Linked DNA regions of Callithrix jacchus. The protein of the gene in region 1 interacts with the protein of each later gene in a pairwise test. Links are inferred from orthologs where the notes say so. Each region holds a gene or a part of one and is shown in the gene's direction. Other genes may lie near its edges.

The links.
Region 2: the proteins of TFCP2 (region 1) and ZCCHC10 interact in binary tests that used the Homo sapiens proteins (3 or more experiments, as listed by UniProt). The two-hybrid records come from large-scale screens. The link is inferred for Callithrix jacchus from reciprocal best matches to the Homo sapiens genes TFCP2 and ZCCHC10.
Region 3: the proteins of TFCP2 (region 1) and ZCCHC12 interact in binary tests that used the Homo sapiens proteins (3 or more experiments, as listed by UniProt). The two-hybrid records come from large-scale screens. The link is inferred for Callithrix jacchus from reciprocal best matches to the Homo sapiens genes TFCP2 and ZCCHC12.
Region 4: the proteins of TFCP2 (region 1) and CDC73 interact in binary tests that used the Homo sapiens proteins (3 or more experiments, as listed by UniProt). The two-hybrid records come from large-scale screens. The link is inferred for Callithrix jacchus from reciprocal best matches to the Homo sapiens genes TFCP2 and CDC73.

Annotation. Positions count from the first base shown.
Region 1 is NC_133510.1:68,339,678-68,345,522, forward strand, and holds part of TFCP2 (alpha-globin transcription factor CP2), read left to right. Parts: intron 1-1,424; coding exon 1,425-1,549; intron 1,550-1,899; coding exon 1,900-2,016; intron 2,017-2,328; coding exon 2,329-2,471; intron 2,472-4,608; coding exon 4,609-4,660; intron 4,661-5,812; coding exon 5,813-5,845.
Region 2 is NC_133503.1:75,424,389-75,430,233, forward strand, and holds part of ZCCHC10 (zinc finger CCHC domain-containing protein 10), read left to right. Parts: intron 1-2,294; coding exon 2,295-2,456; intron 2,457-5,845.
Region 3 is NC_133524.1:114,745,676-114,751,954, forward strand, and holds ZCCHC12 (zinc finger CCHC domain-containing protein 12), read left to right. Parts: upstream 1-2,210; 5' UTR 2,211-2,490; intron 2,491-2,706; 5' UTR 2,707-2,761; intron 2,762-2,955; 5' UTR 2,956-3,057; intron 3,058-3,492; 5' UTR 3,493-3,606; coding exon 3,607-4,827; 3' UTR 4,828-5,397; downstream 5,398-6,279. UniProt on the Homo sapiens protein: Transcriptional coactivator in the bone morphogenetic protein (BMP)-signaling pathway. It positively modulates BMP signaling by interacting with SMAD1 and associating with CBP in the transcription complex.
Region 4 is NC_133519.1:50,417,258-50,423,102, forward strand, and holds part of CDC73 (parafibromin), read left to right. Parts: intron 1-1,503; coding exon 1,504-1,645; intron 1,646-2,439; coding exon 2,440-2,476; 3' UTR 2,477-5,845.

The DNA of each region.
Region 1 (5,845 bases):
AAGAAGGCATTTAGGTCAATGGCAGCAGAACCAAATCAATGACTAAACAGAAAAACAGATTGTGCAGTATTTATTTTGGTTTTGTTTTGGCATTTTTTTCTTGATACAGGGTCTTGCTCTGTCACCCAGGCTGGAGTGCTGGAGTGTGATCACTGCAGCCTTGATTTCCTGGGGGCAAGCAATCCTTCTGCCTCAGCTCCTTGAGCAGCTGCGAGTACCGGCATGCACCAACATGCCCACCTAATTTTGTACTTTTTGTAGATGTGGGGTTTTGCCATGTTGCCCTGGCTGGTCTCAAACTCCTGAAGTCAAGCAATCCTTCCGACTTGGCCTTCTAAAGTGCTGAGATTACAGGTGTGAGCCACCGTACCCAGTCATTTTTTTTTTTCTACATCATAAGGGGTGTTAAATCTTGGAAAAAAAAAATTTTTTTTTTTTTGAGATGGAGTTTGCTGTCATTGCCTGGGCTGGAGTGTAGTGGTGCGATCTTGGCTCACTACAACCTCTGCTTCCTGGGTTCAAGCGATTCTCCTGCCTCAGCCTCTCAAGTAGCTGGGATTACAGGCATGTGCCACCATGCCCGGCTAATTTTGTACTTATAGTAGAGAGGGGTTTCATTATGTTGGTCAGGCTGGTCTTGAACTCCTAACCTCAGGTGATCTGCCTGCCTCAGCCTCCCAAAGTGCTGGGGTTACAGACGTGAGCCACCACGCCCGCCAAATCTTGGAAAATTTTAAGGAAAGAAGTGAAATTAGGGGCTGATGACTTGGGGAAAAATAATTGATCTTTCAATATTATCTAAAGGGTGTTTAGAAATAAGAAAGAGTAAGATGATCAGATCAAGAGGTAGTTAAATACCTTTCTCTAAGAAGAACAGAAAAAGGACTTAGGCTAGTTAGGAGAAGGTAATGAGAAAAATAAGATGATCTAGTTTACTGTGTTGGCATTTTTGAGTAAAAAGTATATCCTGAACCTGACCCATAAGACGGTGGCCTATGTATCTTGACTATTTCTAACTTTTACACAATAAGTCACAAACTCAAATGACTACAGAGGACATACAGGTAATGCAAATGAATGGCAGTCAAGACAGGGGTAAAGAGTATATACATCATATAAGGAGAACAGCTGATTGTTTTCATGTGAGAATGTGGGCTTAAGATTGCTAGATCTGAGTCTTCAGGAAAAGCCACAAGTTCAGAGGTTTATATGATGCCTCATATTGGAACTAATTCCACTTAAGGAAAAAAAATAGCCCTACCACTGGGGAACTAATAAAACATAGTGAATTAATTGCATTTGGCCATTGAGCTTCTACTTTTCATCTGCTCTGTACTATTAATGTAGAAACACAGTTTCTCCCTTCTTTTTATTGTGCTTACCATAAAGAATGTAAGACTAATTAGCCTTTTTCTTCCCTTTAGGATGGTGCGTCCAAGGTTAACCATTTATGTTTGTCAGGAATCACTGCAGCTGAGGGAGCAGCAGCAACAGCAGCAGCAACAGCAACAGAAGCATGAGGATGGAGACTCAAATGGTACTTTCTTCGGTAGGTTGTTCTGGACAGACCAGGACAGATACGAAGAAAGGTGAAGAGACAACTTATGGGCCTCTGTGATGGGAAACTATCAGAAAGTAGATTCATTGTCTGCTAGAAATAACAATAATCACTAGCATTTATTTGCACTCCTAATATATGGCAGGTGCAATCCTTTTTGGGGGGGTGGGGAGTGACAGACTCTCACTCAATTTAGCCAGGCTGAAGTACAGTGGTGTAATCATGATTCATTGCAGCCATCTGCTCACCGGGGCTCAAGTGATTCTCTCCCCTCAGCCTCCCAAGTAGCTAGAACTACAGGTGTGCATCCCATATCTGCCTAATTGTTTTATTTATTGTAGAGATGGGTTCTCCCTATGTCACCCAGGCTGGTCTGGAACTCCTGAGCTCAAGCAATCTCCCTGCCTCAGCCTCCCAAATTGCTGGGATTATAGGTGTGAACCACCACGCCCAGCCAGGTGCTATTCCTAATACTTTTTATATGCTTTAATATTTAATATTAATATCTTTATATATTTAATAGATATAAAACTAATATCTCCTCTTTGCAGAGGATTTTATTGTTATCACCAGTATTTATGTGAGAAAAATGAGGCCTAGGGGTAAATAACGTATCCTAGGTCACACAGCTGCAAGTGGTTGAGCCAGAATTGGAACTTAGGCAGTCTGATTTCTGAGTCCTTCAGAGAAGTGGGCGTTCCTAGTGATCAAGTTACCTGTAAGAGCAGACAAACTTTGTACTGACTGCTGTTGCTCTCTCCCTTTTGCAGTTTACCATGCTATCTATCTAGAAGAACTGACAGCTGTTGAATTGACAGAAAAAATTGCTCAGCTTTTCAGCATTTCCCCTTGCCAGATCAGCCAGATTTACAAGCAGGGGCCAACAGGAATTCATGTGCTCATCAGTGATGAGGTAGATTTTTCAGTACAGTTGAATTACCAGATGATGATTAATTTGTCAGCACACGGAGCAAGAGCAGTTCTCCTGGAGCAGAGTGTTCTGTTTTCTAGATCAGAGGGTTTCATACTTTTTTGCTTGCTTTCCTCCTAAAAAAAATTTTTTTTTTTTGGAACAGAGTATTGCTCTGTTGCCCAGGCCAGAGTGCAGTGGCCCAATCTCAGCTCACTGCAACCTCCACCTCTTGGGTTCAAGTGATTCTCCTGCCTCAGCCTCCTGAATAGCAGAATTACAGGCATGTGCCACCACACACAGCTAATTTTCGTATTTGTAGTAGAGACAGGATTTTGCTATGTTGGCCAGGCTGGTCTCGAACCCTTGGCCTCAGGTGATCCGTCTGCCTCAGCCTCCCAAAGTGCTGGAATTACAGGTGTGAGCCCCTGTGGCCGGCCATCTTACTGTAACTTTTGTTTTTATTTTTTTGAGATGGAGCTCTCACTCTGTCTCCAGGCTGGAGTGCAGTGGCACGATCTCAGCTCACAGCAACCTCCACCTCCAGGGTTCATGTGATTCTCCTGCCTCAGCCTCCAGAGTAGCTGGGACTATAGGCACACACCTTCACACCCAGCTAATTTTTATATTTTTAGTAGTGATGTGGTTTAACCATGTTGGCCAGAATGGTCTCGATCTCTTGACTTCGTGAGCCACCCACCTTAGCCTCCCAAAGTGCTGGGATTACAGGCGTGCGCCACCATGCCCAGCCTACTGTAACATATTTTTATGCACAAACATCTTTTATTATCCTACTATATTTGTTTGAAACAAAGTTTTTAAATAAAAATTTAAAAATTATTATGAATGGAATTATCATAATTTACAATTGATTAAAATAATGTAAATATGCTACATGTTTTAATAAGTAATTATTAACCATTAAGAAGCCCAGGCGTGGTGGCTTTTGCCTGTAATCCCAGCACTTTGGGAGGTTGAGGCAGGCAGATCACCTGAGGTTGGGAGTTCCAGACCAGCCTGACCAACATGGAGAAACCTCATCTCTACTAAAAATACAAAATCAGCTGGACGTGGTGGCACATACCTGTAATCCCAGCTATGTCGGAGGCTAAGGCAGAAGAATCGCTTGAACTTGGGAGGCAGAAGTGGAGGCAGAGGCAGAGGTTGTGGTGAGCTAAGAAAAGAAAAGAAAAAAAGTATTACAGGTGTATCTATGAATGAGTTGGATGAAATTGTTTCATTCCCTACCTGTACCCTTGCACATAATTATTTCCTTTGTAGATGAATACTGCCTATTGATTGCTAGAATGACATAGGATTTCAGCATCGATTTTATTGTGTTTTTTTTCCCTCTAGATATAAATGCTGTGGGACTTGACTCACATAAATTGATAGGAATGGATAGAGTTTTATAATAACAATGTCATTAGATTATTTTAAACTTCACATTTATATACCAAAAATTACATAGTGATAATCAAAAAATCATTTTGAATCCTCTATCATATGACAATTTGTGATTAGGTTACTCCATAATTCTGGTGAAAGGAAAGAGTTAAAAACCATGTGGCTCATGAAAGAGTTTGTTGCCCAGTTATTGGAGTTCACCTTTGTTGCTCCACTTTGGCACCTGAAGCTCCTACATCGTGGGCCAGAGCACCTTGTTAGGGTTCTGGGAGCGTGAAACTCATGCCTTTATCTTGTAAAATGGGAGAAGGGAGTTTGAGAAGGGAAAGTGGGGAAGGAAAATTAAAGAAGTTTTAGCAAAGAGCACATATGGTTGTTGAAGGCACGGAAGTTAGTTCTCCCGTATGTATACATTAGTGTCTGTGTGCTCCTTGGAGAGTCTTGGGGTTAACCCAGGGAAATGCATACCTAGCTTTAAGATAACTGCTCTAATCTGCTTAGCTTTTTAATATTTAAAAACCACATGGGAGGGAAAAAAAGTTTGTGAAGCAGGCTTTTGAAAATTGGGAGGAAGAAACTTTTATGACTCTATAGATATTCAAGAAATACACTATTGTGGCCTGTAAAGCCTCCCATCTAAATCCCTCTGGATGTGGGTTAGTCCTTAGGGACACAGGAATATAAAGGGGTTCTTTTTCATTTAAATAATCACAAGTTTTCTTGATTTTTTCAGATGATACAGAACTTTCAGGAAGAAGCATGTTTTATTCTGGACACAATGAAAGGTAATAGTAAGACAAACACCTTTCTCTGAGCAGTTTAACAGCTTTACTGCTACTAGATAAAGTACATACTTTACTTCTTTGAGGAGAGATAGGGAAAGTATCAACCATAATTTTTGTATTTTTGGTAGAGATGGGGTTTCATCACGTTGGCTGGGCTGGTTTCAAACTCCTGACCTCAAGCGATCTACCCACCCTGGCCTCCCAAAGTGCTGGGATTATAGGCGTGAGTCCCTGCGCCCAGCCCAGTTTTTTGCCATTCTCTTCCATCTTTTATTACAGTTGAGGAAATTCAGGCATTTTTTTTTCTTTATTTTAATAAAGGAAGTGACATTATTAGAGATTGTTTCTTTGTGTAAGTCAGCTTTTTTTTTTTTTTGAGACAGAATCTCAATCTGTCGCCCAGGCTAGAGTGCAGTGGCAATATCTCAGCTCACTGCAACCTCTGCCTCCTGATTTGAAGTGATTCTCCTGCCTCAGCCTCCCAAGTAGCTGGGATTACAGGAACGCACAATCATGTCCGACTAATTTTTGTATTTTTGGTAGAAATGGGGTTTCCCCACGTTGGCCAGGCTGGTCTCGAACTCCTGACTTCAAGCTGTACACCCACCTTGGCCTCCCAAAGTACTGAGATTACAGGCATGAGTCCCTGCGCCTGGCCCGGCTTTTTGCCATTCTCTTCCATCTTCCATTACAGTTGAGGATATCGAGGCATGTTTTTCTTCTTCTTTTTTTTTTTTTAAAGACAGAGTCTTGCTCTGTCACCAGGCTGGAGTGCAGTGGTGCAATCTCAGCTCACTGCAAACTCTGCCTCTCGGGTTCAAGCGATTCTCCTGCCTTAGCCTCCAGAGTAGCTGGGACTACAGGTGCACGCCACCACACCCAGCTAATTTTTCTTTTCTTCTTTTTTTTTTCAGAGATGGGGTTTCTCCCTGTTGGCCAGGATGGTCTTGACCTCTTGACCTCATGATCCGCCTGCCTGGCATGTTGTTTTATAATGCATATTTATTATAAGGATTCTGTGCTTACTAATAAGTATGCTGCTGTTTGTCCTGCTCTTTTTTTTTTTCCGCTTCTCACAAGAATAACCATATTTTGTTTCTCCTACTGTGTTTTAGAGGTGACTAAAGATGATTCTCTCTCTCTTTTTAACAGCAGAAACCAATGATAGCTATCATATTATACTCA
Region 2 (5,845 bases), on another chromosome or scaffold:
AGCAGCTGGGACTACAGGCATGTGCCCAGATACCCAGCTATCTTTTTGTATTTTTAGTAGAGACAGAGTTTTGCCATGTTGGCCAGGCTGGTCTCGAACTCCTGGCTTCAACTGATTCACCCACCTACCTTCCCAAGGTGTTGGGATTACAGGTGTGAGCCACTGCACCTGGCTGTCTGTTTACACTTTGTATAAATTTGTACAGTTTGGATTCTTTTGAGTCTGTCTTCTTATATCATATGTTAAATGAAGCTGTAATTTATCCTTTTTTATTACCATGAATATTCCACTGTATTCTATACCACAAATTTCTGTTGTACTTCCATGTTATTTCCAAATTTGAGGATACTGCAAATAATGCTTCTGAGCACAGTGGCTCCTTCCTACAATCCCAGTGCTTTGGGAGGCTGAGGTGGGTTTTTGTAGAAGTGGTGTTTCACCATGTTGCATGAGCCACCATGCAAAGATGGCTGGGCGCAGTGGCTCATGTCTGTATTCCCAGCACTTTGGGAGGCCATGGCGGGCAGATCACTTGAGGTCAGGAGTTTGAGACCAGTCTGGCCAACATGGTGAAACTCCACTTCCTCAAAAATATAAAAATTAGCCGAGTGTGGTATTGCCCATCTGTCCAGCTACTTAGAAGGCTGAGGTGGGAGAATTTCTTGAACCTTGGAGGCATAGGTTGTGGTGAGTCAAGATGGTGCCACTGTACTCCAGCCTAGACAACAGAGTGAGACTCCATCTCAAAAAAAAAAAAAGAGAGAATCTCCCTCTGTTGCCTAGGTTAAAGTACAGTGGCACAATTATAGTTTCCTGCAGCCTTGAATTCCTGGGCTCAATTGAGCCCCCTATCTCAGCTTCCCAAGTAGCTGGGACTAAGATATGCGCCACCATACATGGCTAATTTTTGTATTTTTTGTAGAGACAGGGTTTCACCATGTTGCCCAGGCTGGTCTCAAACTCCTGAGCTCAAGTTATCTGCCTGCCTTGGCCTCCCAAAATGCTGGGATTATAGGTATGAGTCACCGTGCCTGGCCCTAGCTAATTTTAAAAAATTTCTTGTAGATATAGATTCTTGCTATGTTGTCCTGCCTGGCTGTTCTCAAATTCCTGGCCTCAAGCAGTCCTTCCACCATGGCCTCCAAAAATGCTGGCTCATGCCTGTATTCCCAGCACTTTGGGAGGGCATGGCGGGCAGATCACTTGAGGTCAGGAGTTCAAGACGAGCCTGGCTAACACGGTGAAAGATGTGAGCCACTTCAGCTGGTCAGCTTGATTATTCTTTACCCCCTTGTTGATTCTCTGATTCTTAAAGAAGCTTGTTAAAAATGTTTTGACAGTCTTTCTTAGTTCTGAGCTGGAAAGTAGTCTGAATGACCTCGTCTGTCATTAACTGGAACTTATTTGAGGAGCCATGATTTGAATTCAACTGTATCTTAACTTTAAGATCTATGCTTTTAACCATGTATTTTATGTATTAATCCATTTTCACACTCCTGATAAAGACACACCCAGACTGGGCAATTTAAAAAATAAAGAGGTGGCCAGGCGCGGTGGCTCAAGCATGTAATCCTAGCACTTTGGGAGGCCGAGGCGGGTGGATCACGAGGTCAAGAGATCGAGACCATCCTGGTCAACATGGTGAAACCCTGTCTCTACTAAAAATATAAAAAATTAGCTGGGCATGGTGGTGTGTGCCTGTAATCCCAGCTACTCGGGCGGCTGAGGCAGGAGAATTGCCTGAACCCAGGAGGTGGAGGTTGCGGTGAGCCGAGATCACGCCATTGCACTCCAGCCTGGGTAACAAGAGCGAAACTCTGTCTCAAAAAAAAATAATAAATAAAGAGGTTTTATTGGACTCACAATTCGACGTGGCTGGGGAGGCTTCACAATCATGGCAGAAGGCAAGGAGGAATAAGTCATGTTTTACATGGATGGCAGCAGGCAAAGAGAAGAGAGACCGTGCAGCAAACTGCTATTTTAAAAACCATTTATTCACTATCACAAGAACAGCATAGGAAAGTCTTGCCCCTATGATTCAGTTACCTCCAGCCAGTTCCCTCCTACAACACATGGGAATTCAAGATTTCAAGATGAGATTTGGGTGAGGTCACAGCAACCGTATCATTATACTTATTATACTTTGTTGTATTAAATCTAACATAAAGAGTAAAATATTTATGAATCGGACCATAAAAGTAAACATTATTTTATCCTTTATATTTTTTATATTTTACAGGGCAAAAGTCCCAAGACAAAATTTTAAGGCTTGTATTCTATTTTTTGTTCTGCAGTGAAGCAAATAAGCAACATGTAAGATGTCAGAAATGCCTGGAATTTGGACATTGGACTTATGAATGCACAGGAAAAAGAAAATACCTACATAGGCCCTCAAGGACAGCAGAACTAAAAAAAGCTTTAAAAGAAAAAGAAAACAGATTATTATTACAACAAAGGTAGGTTTACATGTGTTATCCAAAGGAATATTTTTTAAAATGTATATTTATAGAATTTATTAAAGGACTAAATGTTTCATGGTGGTTCTCCAGATTTTAATTATATTACTACGAATGTTTAATGGATGCTTGCTATGTGCCAAACACTGTTCTAGGGTCTTTATAAGTATTAGCTTATTTAAACCTGACATCTACACTATTAAGGTAGGTAATATTACTGTCTTTTTACATATGAAGAAACTGAAGCAAGGAAATATTGAACGATTTACTCATTGTTACACAGCTAGTAAGAAGAAAAAAATAATCATTAAATCATGCAGCCTGTGCCCCAGATTCATTGTCTTAATCATTTTGCTCTGTTGCCTCAACTGTCAATGAAATGACAGTTGAATTAAGAGATAGATTATATGAGCTGACATAGAAAGCTTTATATATCAGGTATATAAAGAAGGTAGGGAACAGAATATATAATATGCTGTGATTTATGTTTATAAAAAGAAAAATTGGCTGGGTGCAGTGGCTCACACCTGTAATCCCAACACTTTGGGAGGCCGAGGCGGGTGTATCACATAAGTCCAGGAGTTCAAGACCAGCCTGGCCAACATGGTGAAACCCCATCTCTACTAAAAATACAAAAATTAGCAGGGTGTGGTAGTGTGTGCCTGTAATCCCAGCTAGTCAGGAGGCTGAGGCAGGAGAATCGCTTGAATCCAGGAGCTGGAGGTTTTGGTGAGCCAAGATTGTGCCACTGCACTGCAGCCTGGGCAATAGAGCAAGACTCTGTCTCAAAAAAAAAAAAAAAAAAGGAAAAGAAGCAGCATCTTCATAAAGGTTATTAGTTATATAATAGTGTCTTAAATATTTAGGCTTTCAAGGCAGCAGTCTTCCAATCTGCTGGACATGAAACTTCTTCAAAAGTTGTACAGGAATAGGTAAATAACCAATTTCTAAATTATCAACATTCATATGCAATTTTTCCTAAAACAAATCTAGATGAGAACTTCCCTACTGGTCTGCTTTTATACTTCCGCTTTTCCAACAAACCTTCTCTAATCTCACAAAAGAAAGGTATACCTCTCGCCTATCTCTAATACTTTAGTGTGTTGTCCTCATGTATAAATACCTAGATGGTTTTTCAAAATAGTGGTATTTGTATTGAGAAAGTAAATGGCCATAATAGTTTTGTTTGTTTTGAGACAGGTTCTCACTAGGTCTCACTGTGTCACCCAGGCTGGAGTGCAGTCTCTTCTCACTGCAACCTCCAACTCCTGGGCTCAAGTGATCCTCCCACCTCAGCCTCCCAAGTAGCTGAGACTTCAGGTGCATACCACGATGCCTGGCTTATTTTTTGCATTTTTTGTAAAGACAAGATTTTGCCATGTTGCCCAGGCTGGTCTCAAACTTCTGAGCTCACGCAATCCACCTGCCTCAGCCTCCCAAAGTGTTGGGATTATAGGTGTGAGCCACTATGCCCAGCTGGCCATGATTTTTGAGAGTAAGTTCTTTTTTTTTTTTTTTTCTTTGAGATGGAGTTTCGCTGTTGTTACCCAGCTGGAGTGCAATGGCGCAATCTTGGCTCACCGCAGCCTCCACCTTCTGGGTTCAAGCAATTCTCCTGCCTCAGCCTCCCAAGTAGCTGGGACTACAGGTGCCCACCACCATGTCCAGCTAATTTTTGTATTTTTAGTAGAGACGGGGTTTCACCTTGTTGACCAGGATGGTCTCAATCTCTTGACCTTGTGATCCACCTGCCTTGGCCTCCCAAAGTGCTGGGATTATAGGAGTGAGCCACTGTGCCCAGCCTGAGAGTAAATTCTTTTTTAAGGTTTTTCCCCCAACAAAATTGGTGGGGGACCTAATTGAATTGTCAATTTAAAAATATTTTTTACTGATATATTCTTATATGACTTGTGGAATGTAACATAGAAGGAATGCAGAGAATTGAGTGATACTGAAGTAAGAAGTCTTTCCATTTCCATGATTCTATTTAGGTTAAGGTTTCTCCAGGTTAAATCTATAAAACTGTAAAATAATTTAATTCCCAAAGAGCCATCTCTATTGAAAAAATAAAATTTAAAAATAGGAATTTAGCCAGGCGTGGTAGCTCACGCCTGTAATCCCAGCACTCTGGGAAGCTGAGGCAGGCAGATCACAAGGTCAGGAGTTCAAGACCAGCCTGGCTAATATGGTGAAACCCTGTCTCTATGAATAATACCAAAAAAATCAGCTAGGCATGATGGCACATGTCTGTAGTCCCAGCTACTTGAGAGGCTGAGGCAGAAGAATCGCTTGAACCTAGGAACAGAGGTTGTAGTGAGCCGAGATTGTGCCACTGCACTCCAGCCTGGGCGACAGAATGAGACTCTGTCTCAAAAAAAAAAAAGAATTTAATTGATGTCAAACCTGGTCACATTCTACTCTGAAGTTTTTATTTATGGATATATAAACTAGAAAAAAAATCTGTCATTAGGAAATACATTTCTGGACCAGGCACAGTAGCTCATGCCTGTAATCCCAGTACTTTGAGAGGCTGAAGTGGGTAGATCACTTGAGGTCAGGAATTCGAGACCATCCTTTCCAACACGGCAAAACGCCATCCCTACTACACGTATAGAAATTAGCTGGGTGCAGTGATATGCACCTGTAATTCCAGCTACTCAGGAGGCTGAGGCAGGAGGATCACTTGAACGTGGGAGGCGGAAGTTGCAGTGAGCTGAGATAACACCACTGCACTCCAGCCTGGGAGATAGAGTGAGACTCTTACACACATACATGCACACACAGATATATGTTACCAATAAAGTAACAGTTATTAAAATTTATAATATTGTCCAGCTGCGGTGGCTCACACCTGTAATCCCAGCACTTTGGGAGGCCAAGACAGGAGGATCACTTGAGGCCAGTGCAACATAGCAATATTCTGTTCCTATTAAAAAAAAAAAAAGTTAGCTGGATGTGGCAGCGCATGTCTGTGATCCCAGCTACTTGGGATACTGACTTGGAGGATTGCTTCAACCCAGGAGGTCAAGGTTACAGTGAGCTGTAATTGCACCATTGTACTCCAGCCTGGGTGAGAGAATGAGACCCTGTCTCAAAAGAAGAATTGTTAAACTTTTTCTTTTTTTTGGGATGGAGTCTCACTCTGTTGCCCAGGCTAGAGTGCAGTGATGCGATCTCGGCTCACTGCAACCTCTGCCTCCTGGGTTCAAGCCATTGTCATGCCTCAGCCTCTCGAGTAGCTGGGACTACAGGTGTGCACTACGGAGCCCAGCTAATTTTTTGTATTTTTAGTAGAGATGGGGTTTCACCATGTTAGCCAGGATGGTCTCAATCTCCTGACCTTGTGATCTGCTCGTGTCAGCCTTCCAAAGTGTTGGGATTATAGGTGT
Region 3 (6,279 bases), on another chromosome or scaffold:
GAAGCCAATTTAAATGCAGAACAAGATTCTGTTTAGAGGCCAGGGTCAGAGGTTGTAGCACTGGGGAGCAGAAGCAAGAGTCTGAAGAATATCCCTAAGCTACTGCCAGCATCACCCTGCACTGTGTGCAGTAAGCAACCTGCCTTCTCTGCACCTCCAAAATCCTCCACCCACCATTGTCACCATTACAGTATTCCATCCACAAGAGAAAGGTCATGCCTCTGAGATGAAGATGCTTTGTCTTTAGATGTAGATTGTTTACTCCAAGGAATTCTAGGTATTGGGGTTGGAAATAAGAAGGCAGAAAGGAGCAGAAGTACCTTGGTAGGCTGAAGCTGAACCTAACAGCAGCTGAAAGGTATCAGACTGTTCACTCACTTCCAAGCATCAGGAATCAAGAATAAGCAACTCCTTTGCACTTGGATGGTCCAAATGCACTTGGTCTTGACCTCCCCAAAGTCCCCACAGGAGTCTCTTAACCACAGTTTACATGAGGGAGGAAGACTTGCTTTCCCAGAACCAGAAGTAAGGGAAAATGGAGTGCTGCAGGCTGAACTATGTTCCCTCAAATTCATATGTTGTAGTCCTAACCCCCCAGGCACTGTAGAGAGAGACAGTATTTAAAGATAGGGCCTTTAAAGAGTTAATTAAGGGGAAAATGAGGCCCTCAGGGTAGGCTCCAATCTGACTTGTGTCCTTATCAGAAGAGGAAATTTGGAATCACTGAGAGACCCCAGGGGCACATATGCACAGAGAGGATGACTATCAAAAGATTGAGCAGGAGGGCAGCCATGTGCAAGCCAAGGAGAAAAGCCTCAGGAGAATCCAACCTTGCTGGCACCTTGAACTTGTACTTCCCAACTACCAGAACTGTGAGCAATACATTTCTGTTGTTTATAAACCACCCAGTCTATGGTATTTTGTTATAGCAGCCCAAACAGACTAAGACAGCACCATAATAAATTATCACAAACTTGGTGGCTTAAAACAAGAGAAGTTTAATTTCTCGCAGTTCTAGAAGCCAGAAGCTTAACACTGGTTTCTCAGGGCTGCATTCAAGGTGTCAGTAGGACTGTGCTCTATTCCTTGCCTCTTTCAGGTTCTGGTGACTGCTAGCATTCCTTTGCTTATGACTTCATCACTAATCTCTGGTCATTGCCTTCTCTTCTTGGTGCACGGCTCTCCCTCTGCCTCTCTTATAAGGACACTTGGGATTTGGATTTCAGCCTGCCCGGAAATTCAAGTCAAAAGCCTTAATTTAATCACACCTGCAAAGACCGTTTTACTTCATAAGGTAACATTTACAGCTTTCAAGGATTAGGGCTTGATATATTGGGGGTGGGGGGGCTTTATTTATCCTCATACAGAGTCCAAAATCTTTGCCTAAAACTTCAGGAAGATCATGGATTCCAGGTAGGCACATTTGCTCTGGAGTTGCATTTCGTCACAGATAAGTGTGGACAGATACTTGAGACAGGCTCATTTACTTATTCACAAACCTCACTACACCTCAGAACCAACCGCAGCACTAGTTAAAATGCAATAAAAAAAATACTAAATACAAAACCACACCACAACCCCTAGGCCTAGTCAATCTGAATCCACCAGAGTTGAGGCCCAGAAGCCTGCATTTCTGAACAAGCTCTCCCAAATGACTCTGATGTCTTGCACCCATACTCGAATGGGTATCGGTTGAGAGCTTTGGTGCTCCAACTCCCCTTTCTGTTAAATGGACATACTGCCACTTTCTTCACCATAAAAGAGGAGATGTCTGTGAAAGCCTATTTGCACAATGCACGGGCTAATGCTCTTCCCGCCCCTTCCCCTCTTCTCCCTCTTTCCCCTATACCAAGGTGAAGAACTTTTATTATATACTTGATTTTGGACCCACTTTGTGTTTAATGCACCTGGCCTAAGATGCAGAGCTGAGCCCCGGGAGAAGGGAGGGGTTGGGCGAGAAAGAAAGAGTCTCAAATTGCGGGGTAACAGGAAGATTGGCTCCATCGGTCTAATCAAGGGGCACTTGAGATTCCGCGGGCCCGCTGTGCCCTCCCGCCTCCGCCTGCCAGCCTGCCCGGAACACTCGCCCCTGCCCAAGGCTGTGCGAGCCGTACGCCCCCGCGCTTCGCTGATTGGCCGCACTGGCCCACTCGTCACGCTCTTTTGTCTCAGCTGCAGGGATAAAAGCTGTCGCCGCTGCCTTAGGAACCGCGCTGCCTCGTTTCGGCTACCCCTGGCAGCCCTGCGAAGCAGTTCCTTTGGGCAGCCCCTGGTCGCTTAGCGGCCGAGGAGGCTCCCTTTATTTTCCCCTGCAGGGTGGAGTAGACCAGAAGGCGGAATCCACAGCTGGCGACGCGGGAGCACTAGCTGCTCACGAGCGGAGCGCAGGTAAAGAAGCGGGCGCGATTGCCCGGCGCGGAGAGGGGTGGGGGAAGACCCACCACTACTGGGCCGCTCCCCGCTTGGAGAATCGGTGACTGCGAGGCAGGGGTAGGAGCGCTCTCCCGCCGGCTGCGCTGAGGGAGGAGGTGGGGTTCACCTGGATACTGTAGGATTTGCCTGGATTTAGGGGTGGGGGGAGAGGCGAGGAGTAGCGGGGGGAGGAATCTCAAGCTGTTTGCCTGGAGCCTGCTTTGCATCTCCTCATCTCTTTCTGTGAGGAATATGTGAGTGGGTGTGTCCAACTCTTATTCCTTTTCTCCGTAGCAGGCCATCAAAGCCGCATCTGAACTTGAATTCTGTACAGCTGATTGCAGAGCTGGTAGGCTGACGACGGTTTCCAGGGAGAAATGTAATGCTTGGGAGGGTGGGGGGGCTGGTCTCTGGCTTATATTCAGGAGGGCCAGAGAATTTTCCGCCTGGCAACAGCGGAGGCGGTGGGTAGCAGGATGACGGGTGAAGCTGCTTCTAACCCCCCCTTCTCTGGCCTTCTCCGCTGTGGCGCAATCTTGAAAGCTCGAGGACCCGGATCTGCGACCCCCTGTGGACAGAGGTTGACCTATCCCCCTAGAGGAGCTTTCTCACGAAGAACACTGGTTGAAGAGACTGGAAATAAAGGTGTGCTCTTGTTTCAGAGCTCGTGTAAGAATCTGAGAAATAACGAGAGAGATGGGGGGGGACACTTTGAGAAGGGGTGTGGTTGAGAACAGAGACTGTGAGGTTAATGAGATCTTATTTTATTTCCACAAACTGCGATCATTGTACTCTTTTTGGAGAGCCCAATATCAGCTCCAGACACTGTTACACCTAGAATTTGGAGCAACAGTTGCCATCCCTCTTAGAGGACTGGTGGGAGGGATGGATGTGGCTGCAAAAAGCACCTTGCTAGCACGCAGGCATCAGGTAGCTCTGGGTGGTTGTAAGTGCCAATCTCTTGCGGGATTATTTTTAGGGTAGTGGGCAAATATAAAATGTACTGCAGGATATTCAAGTAGGGAGAATGCAGCTGCAGCCCTCTCCTTTATTAACAGCCCCCTCCTTTCTTTTTTACAGCCCCTGCTGAGACAGGAAGACAGAGCCACCTCCTCTCCTCTCCTGCCTGCAGATTACGCTTTTCTAAAAAGCTTAGGCCTCTTGTTATATTCAGATACCCTCTCGCTGTCAGTCATGGCTAGCATCATTGCACGTGTGGGTAAAAGCCGGCGGCAGAACTCACCCTTGCCGCCTTGGCTCTATTCCATGATGAGGTCCCTGGGGAGGAGTCTCAGTCCTATAATGTCCAGCATGGCAGAGAGAAATATGAAGTTGTTTTCGGGGAGGATGGTGCCAGCCCAGGGGGAAGAAACCTTTGAAAACTGGCTGACCCAAGTCAATGAGGTCCTGCCAGATTGGAATATGTCTGAGGACGAAAAGCTCCAGCGCTTGATGAAAACCCTTAGGGGCCCTGCCCGGGAGGTCATGCGTGTGCTTCAGGCGACCAACCCTAATCTAAATGTGGCAGATTTCTTGAGAGCCATGAAATTGGTGTTTGGGGAGTCTGAAAGCAGTATGACTGCCCATGGTAAATTTTTTAACACCCTGCAGGCACAAGGGGAGAAAACCTCCCTTTATGTGATCCGTTTAGAAGTGCAGCTCCAGAACGCTATTCAGGCAGGCATCATAGCTGAGAAAGATGCAAACCAGATTCGCTTGCAGCAGTTCCTTTTAGGCGCTGACCTTAGTAGGGACCTCCGCCTCAGACTTAAGGAGCTTCTCAGGATGTATGCAGATGAGCAGGATCGGCTTCCCACTTTCCTGGAGTTAATCAGAATGGTGAGGGAGGAAGATGATTGGGATGATGATGATGCTATTCATCGGAAGCGGTCCAAAAGGTCTGAGTCGATGGTGGAGAGGGCAGTCAGCCCTGTGGCATTTCAGGGCTCCCCGCCAATAGTGATGGGCAGTGCTGACTGCAATGTGATAGAGATTGATGATACCCTCGATGACGACTCTGATGAGGATGTGATCCTGGTGGAGTCTCAGGATCCTCCACTTCCACCCTGGGGTGCCCCTTCCCTCAGAAACAGGGCCAGACCTCAGGATGAAGTGCTGGTCATTGATTCCCCCCAAACTTCCAGGGCTCAGTTTCCTTCCACCAGTGGTGGTTCTGGCTTTAAGAATAATGGTCCTGGGGAGATGCAGATGCGTAGAGCCAGGAAGCGAAAACACATTCTCCGCTGTTCGTATTGTGGTGAGGAGGGTCACTCCAAAGAAACCTGTGACAACGAGAGTGACAGGGCCCAGGTTTTTGAGAATTTGATCATCACCCTGCAGGAGCTGACCCATACCGAGATGGAGCGATCAAGAGGGGCCCTTGGCCGATACAATATCTTCTCTCAGCTTCTGTAAGGGACCAGCCCCCAAGTTTCAGTAAACCCTTACCTATATTCAGCATCCAGCGCTGGGAAAACTGGGGTGGGATGGGGTGGGGGTGAGGGTGGGGGTGGGGGTGGGGTGGGGCTTCCGCTTCTAACTGCATGAATTAATCCACAAGCGGCTATCTTTTGGGGTGGAGGAGAAAGGGTCTTGGATAATAGCACATTGGAGGGAGATAGCCTGACCTCTGTCCTTGCTCCTTCTCCTTGCAGCCTAAGGGTCTGTTTTCTGTGTGTGCCCATTACCTTGACAGCTTTATTCTCTTTGTGAAAGTGATATAAATTATTGTTAAATCTTTGAACTATAAAAAAAGTACAAAAAGTGAAGTACAAATTACCCAAATCCCTCCACCCTTATATAATCATTGTCAACCCTTTGATGAGTGCCCTTCTAGATATGTTCCTATACCTATGTACCCAGATAGATATATGTATAGATAAAAGTGATGCAATATAAGTGCTGTTCTATACTCTGTATTTTTTCACCAGACAATATATGTTGTGAGCTTCTTTCTATGTCAATAAATAAATATATCAGCATCTATCTTAATGTGTCTGTGCTGTTATTTTAGGAAGTAAAAAAAAAGAAAATATAGTAAAAATCTATAAAGGGGGATTGTACTCTGAGGTGGGGTTTTTAATCAACCTCATTTTGCAAATGAGAAAAAAAAGAAATGGGCTGAGATATTTCCCAAAGGTTAAAGGACAGAGCTCCCTTCCCACAACCAGCCTGTCCCTTCCTCAAAGAGCCAACTCGTGGCACCCACTTGTTGACAAAACCCCAATGCTTTCTTCCGTGACCCAGGATTCTGATGCGGGATGGGAGAGTCTGGTGCTAAGGTAACAGCCCAAATGGGGATATCAGGGGCTCCATTTCTGTTCACTTTGGGGATGGGCAGTTCTCCTTCATCTGGGCAGATTCCTTAGATCATTGTTGCTGTGGCTGCCTGTGGACGACGTCCTTGTCAAAACAAGGAATCTCTCCTGTGGGCTGACACCACCTTCTGCCCCCTCCCCAATTAAGGAAAAGAGAGAGCAGCCACTCACGGGAGCTCAGCGTTAGCAGGCTCAGCTCCTGATGGCACCAGACCCTCCCCCTGTAAACTCTGAAGCTATGCACTAGAGGACCCCGGCAGCCCACGGACTCCAAGTTAGCTAGGGAGGCATAAAAAGCAATTTATTTGCTGGGTCATGTGAAGGAACATGGAGATCGGAAAGCCAGGCAGCCCTGAGCGCTATGTGAGCAGAGAAGGGCATTCATGGGAGAGGGAGAAAAAAGAGGGACCACCTCCTTGTCTCATCCTGGAGGGTGATAAAAGAGGACTTGTGTGTGACCTCAGGCTGCAAAGGTCCCTATGTTTTTTGTAGGTGCCTAGGTCCCTATTTTTGCGGGCAGGACAAGGCTGGGGAGTGGGGTGGAGATGAT
Region 4 (5,845 bases), on another chromosome or scaffold:
ACTGCTCAGAAAGATTCCTTTCAAGATATTATTGCTGATTGATGATGTACCTACTCACAAAAGAGTTCTGATGAAGGTGTTCAAGGAGATGAATTTTGTTTTGATGACTACTAACACAGCATCTATTATTTAGCCCATAGATCAAGGAGTAATTTAGACTTTTCAAGGTTTTTTTTTTTTAAGAAATAAGATTTGAAAGGCTGTAGCTGCTATAAATTGATTCCTCTGATGGATCAGGGAAAAGTAAATTGAAACTTTCCTAGATTTACCATTCTAGATGCTATTAAGAGCATTTGTGATTAATAGGAGAAGGTCAAAATATCACCATTACCAGAAGTTTAGGAGAAGTTGATTGCTACCTTCATGGTTCATGGATGACTTTGAGGGGTTCAAGACTTCAGTAGAGGAAATAACCGAAGATAGGTTGTGGAAATAGCAAGGGAACTAGCAATAGAAGTGGAGCTTGAAGATGTGACTGAATTGCTGCACTCTCATGCTGGAACTTGAATGGATGAGGGAGGAGTTCTTTCTTACAGATGAGCAAAGAAAGTGATTTTTTGAGATAGAATTCACTCCAGTGAGCACTTTGGTGAAGATGCTGTAAACATTGTTGAAATGACAACAGAGGATTTAGAACATGACATAAATATAGTAAAGCAGCAGGGTTTGAGAAGATTGAGTCCAGTTTTAAGGAAGTTCTTCTTTAAGTAAAATGCGGTCAAATATTATCACATACTGCAGAGAAATCTTTTGTGAAAGGTAAATTCAGTAAGTGCCAGAAACTTTATTATTATCTTATTTTCAGAAATTGCTCAGCCACCCTAACATTCATCAAAGACCACACCCTATTAGTCAGCAGCCATCAACATTGAGGCATAATCCTACACCAGCAAAAAAAATTAGAACTTGCTGAAGGCTCAGATGATTGTCAGCATTTTTTAGCAACAAAGTATGTTTTAATTAAGGCATATACATTGTTTTTCAGACATAATGCTATTCCACACTTAAGGTAGACTATGACATAGTGTTAATGTAGCTTTTATATGCAGTGAGATAGCAGGAAATATGTGTAACTTACTGTATTATGGTACTCACTTTATTGCGGTGGTCTGGAACTGAACCCACAATGTCTACAAGGTAAGGTTGCACTCTTGGGTTTCTGTAATAACCTAGTACCCTTACAGTCTTTCTTATTGTCCTTCACTGGACCATATGCATATTATCTTACCTTATTCCTCATTTTAGTCTCCAGTGCCTGGCATATATAAACCCTGAATATTTTTAAATATAATATTTTTAAAAAATCACTTTGGTTGTACTATGGCTTCAGTTGGTGGAAATTTTTTCTTTTTCTTTTTCTTTTTAGGTTTCAGTTTAATGTCTTGAATTCATTCCAGATATTAATTGGATTTGGATTTGTAAAAAATTTTCTGTAAAATGTTTTTATAATTTTGTTTATATTTTGAGTAAAAAATTCTTTCTTCTCCCCACCCCACACTGTAGTTAAAGCCTTCCATCTGAAATATGATGAAGTTCGTCTGGATCCGAATGTTCAGAAATGGGATGTAACAGTATTAGAACTTAGCTATCACAAACGTCATTTGGATAGACCAGTGTTCTTACGATTTTGGGAAACATTGGACAGGTAATTTTTATTCTAAAATGTGTTTATCTGTGGTTTATTGTAATTTTTCTGTCTCCTCAATTAAATTTTAAGTTCCATAAAGTTGTGAATCTTACTCCCTATTTTCCTTCTTTCAACATTAATTTGATGTTTATCTTCAGTAAATAATTAACAAAATTTTATTGTATAATTACTTTAGAAAGGGATGGAGAGTTAATAGCCTGATAGAGGGAACACTAAATTGAGTCAGAAGACTTAGACTTGAGTCTTGCTTTTGTAATCTCTAATGATCTGTGTGACCTTTTTGAACCTTATTATCTGTCCAAGAAACTTTGGATTAAGCGCCCTATGTTTTTGCAAGTACTGAAAGATCTCTGATTCTGGGTTCGTCTGTGTTACACATAGTTCATGAAAAGAAATGAAATTTTAAAATTTATTTTGATTACTAGTATAGTGTTGATAAAACCCTTTAGTAACAGTTTTGTAATTGGCAGATTTAAGAACAGCGTATGTTCACAGTGAGTACCACTGAATCCATTCTCTTTGAGGTGTGCTCCTTAAAATCTGTAACATCTTGGTGTAAGTCTCTCACAATAGATGTGAAAAATATATATCATTTTAGCTAGAAGCTTTTAGATTATATTACTTAAGAGGAGTGTTATTTCTAGCTTATTCCAGAAGTCCTTATATTTTCAGTTTTCTAGAAAACAACATTCTGTTGATTTAAGAAATGTCAACTTATTTTTACATGCGTTATTCTAAAAATTCCGAAATTTCTATAGTCATTATGACCTACCATCATACTTTTTTTTCAGGTACATGGTAAAGCATAAATCCCACTTGAGATTCTGAATTATTTGGCTCCTCTGTTTCTGGAAATTGAGACTCAAGCTTTATGAATTTATCAAGAACTTAAAGATGAAGAAGGTCACAGATTGATCTTTTATAAAACCTTACTCGATGCTTTGTGCTTCAAGGAGATGATGCCTGTCATCCATATAAGCAAACTTTTTGGCTTACAACTATTTTTTTAATACTAGCCTTCTAGTCTGTAATGGAAATTGTATATTTTGATAGAAGTTTTTTCTCCATTGGTTAAATTAGCATTACTTAAAAAATTTGTTTCTTTAGAAAATAAATGCAGGTTATAAATGTGTGTATATTTAGAGATTATAAGGCTCTCTGAGCCATCTTGCTTCTGATTTTTCATTGCTCTCTAATTCTTTTTACTGAAAATACTGTGTGATGAATGGTATTAAATTTTAGTCTCTGGAACATCCAAACCAAGCAGAGGGATGTGACCATTTTGAATGAATCAGAATGTCAACCTGTATGTACACTATATCTACACTTACTCTTTATTTAAAAAGAATAATGAAAAATCAAGAACAACTCTTCAATTTGATTGAACTGTTCAGCCTTTTCAAGATTTCTTTATTTACAAATGATAACATTTAATGAATGTACGTTCTTCTCACTGACTGGTGATTTTTGAAACTTAGAATGATGTGTTTCTATCTGTGATATCTTTCCGTTTGAAAAAAATTTCAAAACACAGATTAAAACCATAATAGGCTGTAGTATTTTTTATTTTGGGAGCCACAGTATGATTTGGGGAAGGAATATGTATCAGCCCTATTGCAGTATGTCTTTAAGCTCCTTTTCTCTTTAGTCCACCTTTGATTCTAATTTTTATGGTATAGGATTTTGAGTCTTCTGTTTTAGGTTTAGGCTTGTCAGTCTTGGAGTTCTTATCTTCCATTATCCCTCAATATTGATAAACTCCCAGACACCAAAGAACACATTTGCTTAATTGAAAAGAAACAAGAGAAAAACACTGGTATTTTTGTGTGTGTATTAAATATGGTATAAAATATAAAACCTATATTTTAACTTAGTAAAATATTTTACTATTTCTCTACTTTAGACAAAATGTTGCCTCCAAGGTACAACTGACCATTTTCCTTGAATCCTGATTTTGCTCTTTTTACTTAAAAGCAACTGGAAAGCTTTACTTTCCCAAATTGTTTTTGCCATCAGAATTTTTGCTGATCACAGTCTTAGGTCATTTTTTTCTTCCTTGTTATTCCCAGCAGTTCTTTCCTAGGTTAACATATTGTTGGCAAACATTTATCCCTTTCATAGGTGTTAAGCTGACATTATCTAGATTCTTTATGAAATTTAGCACTGTCACAAAAACGAGAAGAAATTATTTACTTTTAAGTAATCACAAAGTCCATACCACTAGTAACTAGAAAAGGTATTTATTTACACGGTATCTACAAGGCTGTTCAGAAGAGAACAGTTGGCATTTTAAATTACTGGATTTTAGCATACCTAGAAAGTTTGAATAGATTCTACCCGTTTTCCTCCCTTTTTAGTGTCTTCTTTCCTTAAAGATAAAACTCAGATTTTTTCCCATTGGGCTTTCTTAGCATATAGATCTGTTTCCGGAATAAATTACGTGTTGTGTAAACTTTCTTCATGATGAAATAGTCAAGGACCAGAATCTGTGATATATGTATGTAAGATTACTTGTCAAGACTACTACAAGTCAATATGAACTACCTTCCCGTAAAGATTTTTGGTATTTATACTTATTAATGAACTTTACTTGATACAGAATATGGTTAAAATTAGGAACATCTACTTTGAATGAGGTTTATTTTTCTATTTTGAATTTGCCTTATGTATATTCAAAGGCTTATGGAAAAACTATAGAGGAACTTTAGGAAAAGGACAAATATGTGATGATCATCTATCTGAAAATCAGATCCTTAGCATAAGCACTGCTTTTTTTCTCTTTGACAATGTAGCTTCTTATTTAGGTCCATGGAATTAAATTTCATTCCATTACTTTTTCAGCTAATCCCTATTCATTCTCCCATGACATGGTCTGATAGCAGTACTTAACACAGTGCCTTGCACATAGTAGGCATTCAGTAAATACTTATATGCATGAATGAATAATGTATTTTCAGTGTAACAAATTTATTACAAAAATGTAGTTTGACTCTACTTGGTTTTGGAATTTGAGAATACAGAATTACAGGGAATGAGGAGAGGTATAAGTAGATACTTTAATGGAAATGAAGTATAAATAACTTACCCATAAGTTACTTCTAACTGGAGATACCCATGTATGCCCAATCTGTAAAGGAAAGTTCTATTTCTACATTTATAGGACATTCTTCTCAGTCAGGGAGCAGTAAGAAGTATGTAGGTTTCAGTCAGTTGCTCTCAACCCTGACTGCATGTTAGGATCATTTGGAGAGTTTGAAAAAAAACCCATGCCTGAATCTTCATTCCCATTTTTATGTAATTTGAGACCTGGTCATCAGTATTGTTTTTAGAAGTTCTCCAGGTAATTTGAGTGTGCAGGAAGGATTCAGAACCACTGGTTTAGTTTGTTATTGGAAACAATACCAGGATTAAATGTGTTTCCTCTTCCTTCTTTTCTGTATGTGTGTGTTGTTGTTGTTTCGTGGCCACCCTTTGCACTAGACCATCCCTGTTACTGGTGGCGTTGGCCTGTATTCCCATTGACAAATGCAATTTTTAATTATTTATTAATATAGGAGTATTTGACTTTAATATTTAAATAATGTTTAATGTATTTCATTATTAACTAGTATTATAGCTTGTTTTTTTCTCCGTGTGTCCATAACCTTTACTAACTTTTTGTTTTTAGCAGCACAACAGTAATTCATATAGAAACAAGTAATTCATAATGAGGAGAATCTCCTAATTTTTAAGGCAGAAAGAAATATTAATTTTTGATCTGCCATGCGGAATGAGACAAACACAGTTTGCTTATGAAAGGAAAGTAGCATACTTTTAAATTGGTCTACACAGAAAAGTAAAAGTAAATTATTCATTTAACTAAGATTCATTATCCAATAAATATTGAAGGGAATATTTTTTCTAAATAAAAATTTTTGTGACTGCTAACAAAAATTAAAGTTATTACATTTTTCTTTTTTTGTGGGGGGGGGAAGAATATTTGTTGCACTAAAGTATATAAAGTTTTTGAGACTAGCAGTGTGTTTTATAATATTACAAATAGAACAGTTACAAAAGCTGGTCAAATTAATGGCCTAGGAGGTAGCTTTATACTTTGTGTTTTGAAATTGCTTAAGTGCAAAGTTATGAGTAAGAGAGAAGTCTTTTTAAATTTTTTATTTTTAATTTTTTTGGAAGTTTATTAAAGCCCTTCATATA